Linked DNA regions of Caenorhabditis elegans. The protein of the gene in region 1 interacts with the protein of each later gene in a biochemical or structural test. Each region holds a gene or a part of one and is shown on either strand. Other genes may lie near its edges. The genes, in order: ubc-16 and rbx-1.

What was found.
Region 2: of the proteins of ubc-16 (region 1) and rbx-1, one has a biochemical effect on the other in vitro, tested with the Caenorhabditis elegans proteins (one study listed by BioGRID).

The regions. Positions count from the first base shown.
Region 1 is NC_003279.8:14,820,329-14,824,617, reverse strand, and holds ubc-16 (Ubiquitin-conjugating enzyme E2 W), read right to left. Parts: upstream 2,569-4,289; 5' UTR 2,550-2,568; coding exon 2,443-2,549; intron 2,390-2,442; coding exon 2,284-2,389; intron 1,189-2,283; coding exon 957-1,188; intron 899-956; coding exon 885-898; 3' UTR 628-884; downstream 1-627. Other genes in the region: let-49 (Mediator of RNA polymerase II transcription subunit 7), read right to left, coding at 3,077-3,368, 3,425-3,495, 3,550-3,769, 3,894-3,981, 4,104-4,194. UniProt on the Caenorhabditis elegans protein: Accepts ubiquitin from the E1 complex and catalyzes its covalent attachment to other proteins. Together with ubc-18, required for the ubiquitination of membranous organelles, and the removal of paternal mitochondria from early embryos.
Region 2 is NC_003283.11:9,689,120-9,692,673, forward strand, and holds rbx-1 (RING-box protein 1), read right to left. Parts: upstream 1,404-3,554; 5' UTR 1,402-1,403; coding exon 1,327-1,401; intron 1,277-1,326; coding exon 1,070-1,276; intron 885-1,069; coding exon 834-884; 3' UTR 567-833; downstream 1-566. Other genes in the region: ztf-9 (C2H2-type domain-containing protein), read right to left, coding at 2,029-2,432, 2,481-2,712, 2,771-2,858, 2,908-3,017. UniProt on the Caenorhabditis elegans protein: Component of the SCF (SKP1-CUL1-F-box protein) E3 ubiquitin ligase complex, which mediates the ubiquitination and subsequent proteasomal degradation of target proteins.

The DNA.
Region 1 (4,289 bases):
TCCAACTATTGCGATTCGAAGAGAGCTTGCTGGAAATCGGTTCAACCATATTTTAATGTTTGATTTTAGCAATTACCTGAATAAATCTGGCCACAAAGAAGAAAAGGGAAAATTACATGGAACATATTATCTGAATTTAAGCCTTGGTATCCTGGTCCTGCCACGCGCGCAACTTTTCCGTTACAGTACCCGCAAATATTTCGCAATAATCCAATATAATTTCTTATGTATTTTTACTGTTTTGCTGCTAATTTTCAATTCCGGCAAATCGCCGACTTGCCGGAAATTTTAATTCCGGCAGTGTGCCGTTTTTCCGGGAAAATCGTTTGCCGCCCACCCTTGTATCGAAATATTATCAAATGTGGGTACTGTAGCTAAAAAAGGTTCGCTCGTGCCAGGACCCGTGGGCTAAGATATTTAAATTTTTAAAAACCAGTAATAATTATATTCTTATGGAATAGGGACCCCAATATGCAAAATGTTAAGGTACGTGGTCTCAAAAGAAAATTCTAAAAAAGGAGTACTGTGCCTCTGGCCGTTTCAAGACCATGTACCGTACTTGCTGCGTGAGAATTATCGAGATAATATCCAATTAATTGTTGTTGTTGTTTTTTAATAATTAAAAAGATGCATATTTTATTTACAAAATTCACAAACAAAAGAAAACGTATCAGAAAACACTGATGGCATGGGAGACAAGATGAGGAAGGAAGAAGGTGTGTATAATTGAAGGTGGCATGTTGAATGGGATTATTGATGATGAAAAAAGGCAAAAAAGAGGGAGAAGAGTAATTGCGGAAAAAAAAAATAATTTTATAGGTCAATTATTTTCTGGTATCACGTATTCGGCGGGAGAACATAGCAAAGAAGATTGGAGGGGTCCTTCAAACACTGTCGTCTGAAAAAAAATTGTGTTTAATTTGTTTCGAATTTTCGAATTAAGTATTAAAACTGACCATGGAACCACCAGCGAGTCTTACTCGGATTCTTACTGCACGTTCTCACATAAATAGCGTCATCAATTGGATGTTTCTTCTCTTTTGACGATGAAAGCATTGACAGAATCGAGAGGCACACGGATTGAACACTGAGAGCAGGTGTCCAATCATCTGATAGGATAGACAGGCAGATATGTCCATTTGAGTAGATGTGCGGGTGGGCTGGGATAGTTTCGCCGACGAACATCACCTGGAAAAGTGATGATTTGGGTGCATATTGAACAATGTTATACTATTAGGGTGATCGATAAGTTTTTTCGTTTGTTCTCAGTTTTTATTTTTTTCTCAAATATTATTTTGTAATTACATAGTAATTAGTGAGTAGTGAAAAATTTATAAATACCAACCAATTCCGACAACTTCCAGACTGCACCATCTGCCTTCGAGTGGTCGAGAAGAAAAAATAATTTTTTCGATTTTTTTGGTTTTTGGGTTGAATGGAAATGTTAGTGTTTCATGCAGTTGGAAAACTTTTGTATAACGCAGATTAAAAATAGTTGGCAACGAAAAGCACTCCTTGATATCTTAAATTTGAGAAGGTACCGAAAATTAGTTGCAAAAATTACAATTTTCTCTTCAGAGTGGTATATCTTAGACTGCGTCACAGATTTCTATTTATGAACAACTACAAAAATATTAACCAATTATTTCTACACATTAATAATAATAATTTCAAAACCGGCAATTGTCGAAATTGCCGAAATTTTCCAATACCGGCAATTGTCAAAATTTCCAAAACCGACAAAATTGTGAAATTTGCCGAAAATTTCCAAAACCGGAAATTATCGAAATTGCCGAAATTTTCCAAAACCGGCAATTATCGAAATTGCCGAAAATTTCCAAAACCGGCAATTGTCAAAATTGCCGAAATTTTCCAAAACCGGCAATTGTCAAAATTACCGAAAATTTCCCAAACCGACAAAATTGTCGAAATTGCCGAAAATTTCCAAAACCGGCAATTATCGAAATTGCCGAAATTTTCCAAAACCGGAAATTGTCGAAATTGCCGAAAATTTCCAATATATACATATACGAATTCGGAGTCCGAATGCGTATTTAAGCCAAAAAGTACCAAATGGATTTATATTTTATGATGATTTTTTGGCTTAATTACGCGTTTAAAGACGAAAAAATTGTCCCAACATCAATTTGAGCAAGATTGTATTTTTTAATTCGTTATGTTTATTGTATTTAACTTTCAGAAAATATAACATTCCACCAATCTGGACACCAAAAAAGAGTCTCTAGTTAGTCCAATTTTTCACGAAAATAAATTTGTTCTTACCTCCGGAGAATTGAACGGGTACTGAGGACCAAACGTGAATTGCAGCATAAAAACTTCACCCGCATACAATGTTCCCTCGGCGCCGACGACTCCTATTTTCCATTGTCTAAATTAAAATTCGTATTAATTTCAAATTAAAACTGAAAAAATCGATCGTACTTCAAATCGTTACTTGTTGATGTATTATCCACTAAAAGCCCTTCTGGAGCCTCACTTTTCAGTTGAGCCAGCTCTTTCATCAGTCGTCTTGTCGCAGCATCTGACATTCCTGATGAGTGGAGGCGTCTGAAATTAGGGGTATTATGTGTTGATTCACGCAGAATTCGTATACTTCTCGAGGAGAAGAGAATTTTACAGTTTTTTTGGCTTAAATTATTGATTTTTAATCAATAATTTCTGCTCATAATTTCCAATTATAGAAAGAATAAAATCGAAAAAGCTACGTACGACTTTGCGCTTTTAATTGGCGTTTTCCTCTAAAATAAAAAAACCGAAAATTTTAGTTTTCTCATTTTCAGGTTTTTAATTTTTTGAAGAAAAAACACTGTTTTTCGAAATGAAACGTATTCCCTGAAGATAATTGTTTATGTCACACGAAAGCTGCCTAAAAAGTATAAAAAATAATTCGAAATAAAGAATGCGAATTGACGCATTTTCAACAGAACAAAGATGAAAAAACGATTGAAAAAAGTTATTTTTAAACGAAATTTTAATTACAGCATTTCAGAAGATCATCAGAGTCAAAATCATAGTTCGAAAACCCGGTAAAATAAATTAAAATGAAATTATTTAATTATTTCTTCAGTGAGATATCATGAAACTGTCTTGCTAACAAGTGTACAACACTCGGTGGTCCATCTTCTCTTGATAATAGTTCCAGCCTCGCTTTCTTTTTACTATATTCCGATCCTTCTTCCTCTTTCATTTCCACGTCATCTGAAGCTTCTGTCTCCTGAAGCATATGAAGCACTCCGTCTTGCAGTTTGACACGTGTCAGTTCCGAAGGTTGAGGTGGAGCTGGAAGCTTCCCACGGATCATTTGGAATTGGTCATCGACAACTTCTCGACCATCACGCAGATATTTTCTGGAAAAAAGGAGAAAAAATATACAAATTTAAAACTTAATTCCGATTTGACTAACTTAAAATCCTTGCAAATATCCGATAATTCTTCGATTTGTCTCTCTTGTAAAATTCGAACACTGTCGCGAGCCTGAAAAACATAGAAAAATATAGATTTTATTTCATTTTTAAAACACTTTTCTACCTGAACTGGCCGGAATTCATTGATCAAATGATGCATATTAATGAATATCGTGTGTAAATCGACCATTTTCTCCTCTCTCATTGGGTGATCGGGAGCGCGAATCAGAATTTCGACCAAATCGAAAAATGCGACTATGGCGGACCTGTTCAACTTCTTCATCTCGGTTTTCCAATTATTTTTGTTCTTGTAGAGCTCAGCAACACCGGCGTTTTTCAGAGGGCTGTAAATGAATGTTTTATTCTAGTTTTTCCCGCGTATTGAAAAAGGTTTTTGCAAAATAGGTGGGAAAATTCGGCTAGACTCAGCATGTTTTTGGTTTTTATATAGCCGCTAAAATTTCTTACGCGATGACATCATCTTCCAATCGATATTCCTCTCCGTACACCTTGAATTCCGTAAGTGGATGCGGCGGAGGTGGTGCCGAACCTGAATCTTGTTAAAGTGATGTATGAGAAATCTGTTAGAGAAATTGCGTTTTATTTCTAACAAAAAAAAATACTGTTTGCTGAATTAAAAACTGCTAGTTTCAAAATTTCAAAATTCAAACTCCTTACCATTATTGATTCGATCACTTGTATACGCCGATGCGTACTCTGGAGGATTTGGGAACGGGCTGACTGTTTGTGCACCAAAACCAGGAAGCATTTTAAATGAAAACTGAAAAAAATGAGTTGAAAACGATGAAAACAGAGCTGAAAAGGAAGGGAAGTATAATAATAAAAGAAAGAAAAATGAAAAAC
Region 2 (3,554 bases), on another chromosome or scaffold:
AAATAAACCGATGTGTATAATTTTCATTGAGTTTTGCCCTACTTTGTGAACTTCAACACTTCTAAATATGTATGAACAATTTTGTGCAATTTGGCATTCGGAGGAACTACTGTATCTGAAATCGTGGCAGGACCCAGCCAAGAGAAGTAGTGTGCGCCTTTAAAGTGATACTTCACTTTTCATGAAGTTAAGAATATCCGCAATTTAGCAACGTCGATTATTGAACAATAAACGTTTGTAGACAGTTTTAAAAGCAGAAAATTATCTTGGTCTATATTAATGAGAGAACTCTACAAAAATCAGTATCCAAAATTTAAAAAAAACTTTGGCACAGAAACGAACAAGCAATCGTAATAATCAATTATTACGGAAAGGAATACGAAGAAGCGGCGAGAAATGTGCTGCAATTCGGTTTTGAACGTTTTAGCCGAATTGCAAATAAATTACGCGAGACGAGACCTCCTCCTTTTGCTCCGGCGGCTTGAACGGTGCCCGCAACCTGAACCTAAACAGCCTAAGCACATAAACGGCACGAGAATTGTCTCGTTGAGAATTATGAGACCAGAGGACACAGTTCATATTTATATTTTTAGCGGAGAAAAATTAAATATTCAAGCGAGGAAGGATGATTTTAGAAGGTCAGAAGGGATTGGAGATTTGAATAAACAAATGAAAAGTGTCAGATCACATAGAGACTAACACGTCTGGATTTTAATGTGCTTTTTTTTGGGACGAATACATATTCACAAAAGGAAATAGAAGAAAAATCAGTGAATACAAGTAAAAAAGTGTGAAGAAACTGCCCGGGCGGTTGGCAGAAGAATGAAGATCGATTAGTGTCCGTACTTTTGGAATTCCCACTCACGATTGTCCAATGGGCATACCTGAAAAGATAGAATTAGAAAATGTGTAAGCTTTTTGAAATGCTAGTTACGAGTACTTAGTAATTGAAAAAAATTAAATTTTCAAAAGTTGTTTAACAAAAATGCATGCGGCAGGCTTCTGTTCCGCTTTGACATTTGAATAAATATCATTTTTTCAAAAATAAGCACGTTTAAAAGCAACCTACCTGTCGTGTCTTCAGCCAACGAGAAATGCAATGGAAGTGGAAAGCGTGATTACAGTTTCCCCATGCAACGGTACACTCATCCTTGAGCCCGGCTGCTTGATTCGCTTGGCACTCGATGCACAGATCCATGATGTGATTGCGGCAAATAGCGCAGTTGTCGACCTGAATGTCCCAGGCCCAAAGTGCGACGGCACTCCATTTCTTGACCTTAAATTGCACTATGTTTGTTAAAGCATGTAACATTGTATCTGTGTTACCTCGAAACGCTTCTTAACTGTCTGATTTGTGGCCTCCTCGACCTCCATAGCTGTGCTGTCGCTTGCTTGGGCCATTTCTGGAAAAAATACAAATGAGAATAACAGTAATCATTTCAAAATAAGAGCGCAAAAGTAGCATTGATGATATAATGAAATACTTAATATTGAACATGTTTATGCATACTATAATACTATAAGCCTAAACTAAATAGAGGATATGATTGATAAAATTGTTGTATCAGATTTTATGAAAAATTGTACCCTAGAACAAGTGATTCACGAACCTAATACAACATTGTTGTACAAAGCCGCCGATAGAAAATGAGGAAACATGAAGGACTTGACATTATTGCTAATATGTATTGAAAAAGGAGATACGCTGTTGTAAAATAAATAAAATGAAATCAGACTGAGCAACACTGCCGAAATTCTTTCGAAAGAATCATCAAAAACGCTTGTCTGCACACACCAGACGCTACGCGCATTTGCGTACACCGTACTCACCTATTTTCTGTCTTCACGCTTTCGCTTTCTTTTTAAAATTTACTCGTCGCGTCTTATTTCTTGCCGAAACGAACAAAGAAGAACAGGTTAAAAAGAAAAATTGTATTTAACAAAAATAAACCGTATCAGTTAGTATTTTAACAGTAATTCTAACAATTGGGACGATGAGAAAACAACTTTTAAATCGTTTCAAGATATTTATTCTGGCAAATCCGTGTATCCAATTCTCTTTTTCTTTCGCTCCGGAAAACATTTTTCAGTAATTTCTTTCAGCTTGTTTCCTAGATTTTTTCGATAGTCAATAACCATGTCGCAGTCGATGGTTCCGTCGGGTCTCTCGTGATGGCTTTTTATGTGCTTGATCACATCAGATTTTGCAATTGTCTGCCATTTTCTGTGACAGATTCCGCACTCGTAGAGCTCATATTTTCCGTGACGCGTATTTGCATGATACACCATGCTTGATCTTTGTTTGGAAACAACGTCTCCACAAAGAGAACATTGAATTTGTTGCTTCGGCTTGATCGGACCACCGCCATCAGATGCTCCCTCGAATGAAGGACCGGCTCCACGTTCTTCTTCGTGACGTGCCAGAGTTTCGTCTGAATTAAATCCAAATGAGTGGGAATCATTATTATGTGTAAGTTTACCTAGAAAGGCATGATAAGCATTATCTACGAAGACAACAGGAGAAGATGACTGAATAGGTGTGCCAGTTGCTTCTGAGTTTTCGACTTTGACTCTGTTCTCCACTGTGCTTGACACCGCATCGCTGATTTTCCCTTCAATCCGCATAGATCGACTCATTGCAATGCACCGTTCGAGCTTTTGGGTCAGTTCCTTCTTTTTCATACTCAACTCCGGTGTGTAGCGATATTTTATCTGCAATTTAAATTATTGTTGAATTTTTTTTCTGCGTCTCTCAACATTGGAGACTTACAGAAAATTCGGTGAGTCCATGATCATTCATACAGTGACTGACAAGGGCGAATTCCGTTGGAAACTTAGCGTACTTACATTTTTCGCATCTAAAATAGTAAAGCTACGTTCACCACATATTAAAAGTTAAAGACTTACTCATATGGGCATATGTTAAGATGATCACTAGCAATGTGTGCTTCGAGATCTTCCAGTGTGTTGTAGGCCTCAGTTTGAACGCAATCTAGACATCCCAGTAGTCGGTTCATTTTTTGAATGTAATAAATATATTCTGCAAATTTAGTAATATAGATTTAGAAGCGAACGGTTAACAAAATGTGTTCGAAATCAACTGAAGACGCGTGGAAAAAGGAAAAGAATGGTGAGAAGAAGAAGGAAGGAAAATGGAGAGAAGGGGGTGGTTTTGTGTGTGTGAGGAGGAGAAGAAGGCCGGGCGGGCAATGGCCAGTCTCTTCCTCCTTTCTCCTTCCTTTCTTCTCCTCTTTCTTCTTTTTTCTTCTTCTCATCGCTCGGTTCGCGCTACATTGAAACGGAGAGAGAAAGGGAAAGAGAGAGGACAAAAATGCGACGACTCGTCTTCTTCCTATCTCTTTCTCTCTGCTGTGTGTGTGTGTGTGTTTTTGTGGCGATAGGAAAAAAAGAAAAAGGAGCGGGATGGGCGGAAGAAAAGTGGGAAAAACTGTTGGAAAAATGAAAACGTGAGAGAACAGATATGAGTCAGATTTTTGTGAAAAATAATTAATTTTGAGATAAAAAGTTGATGGTACAAATACCATGACCATGCA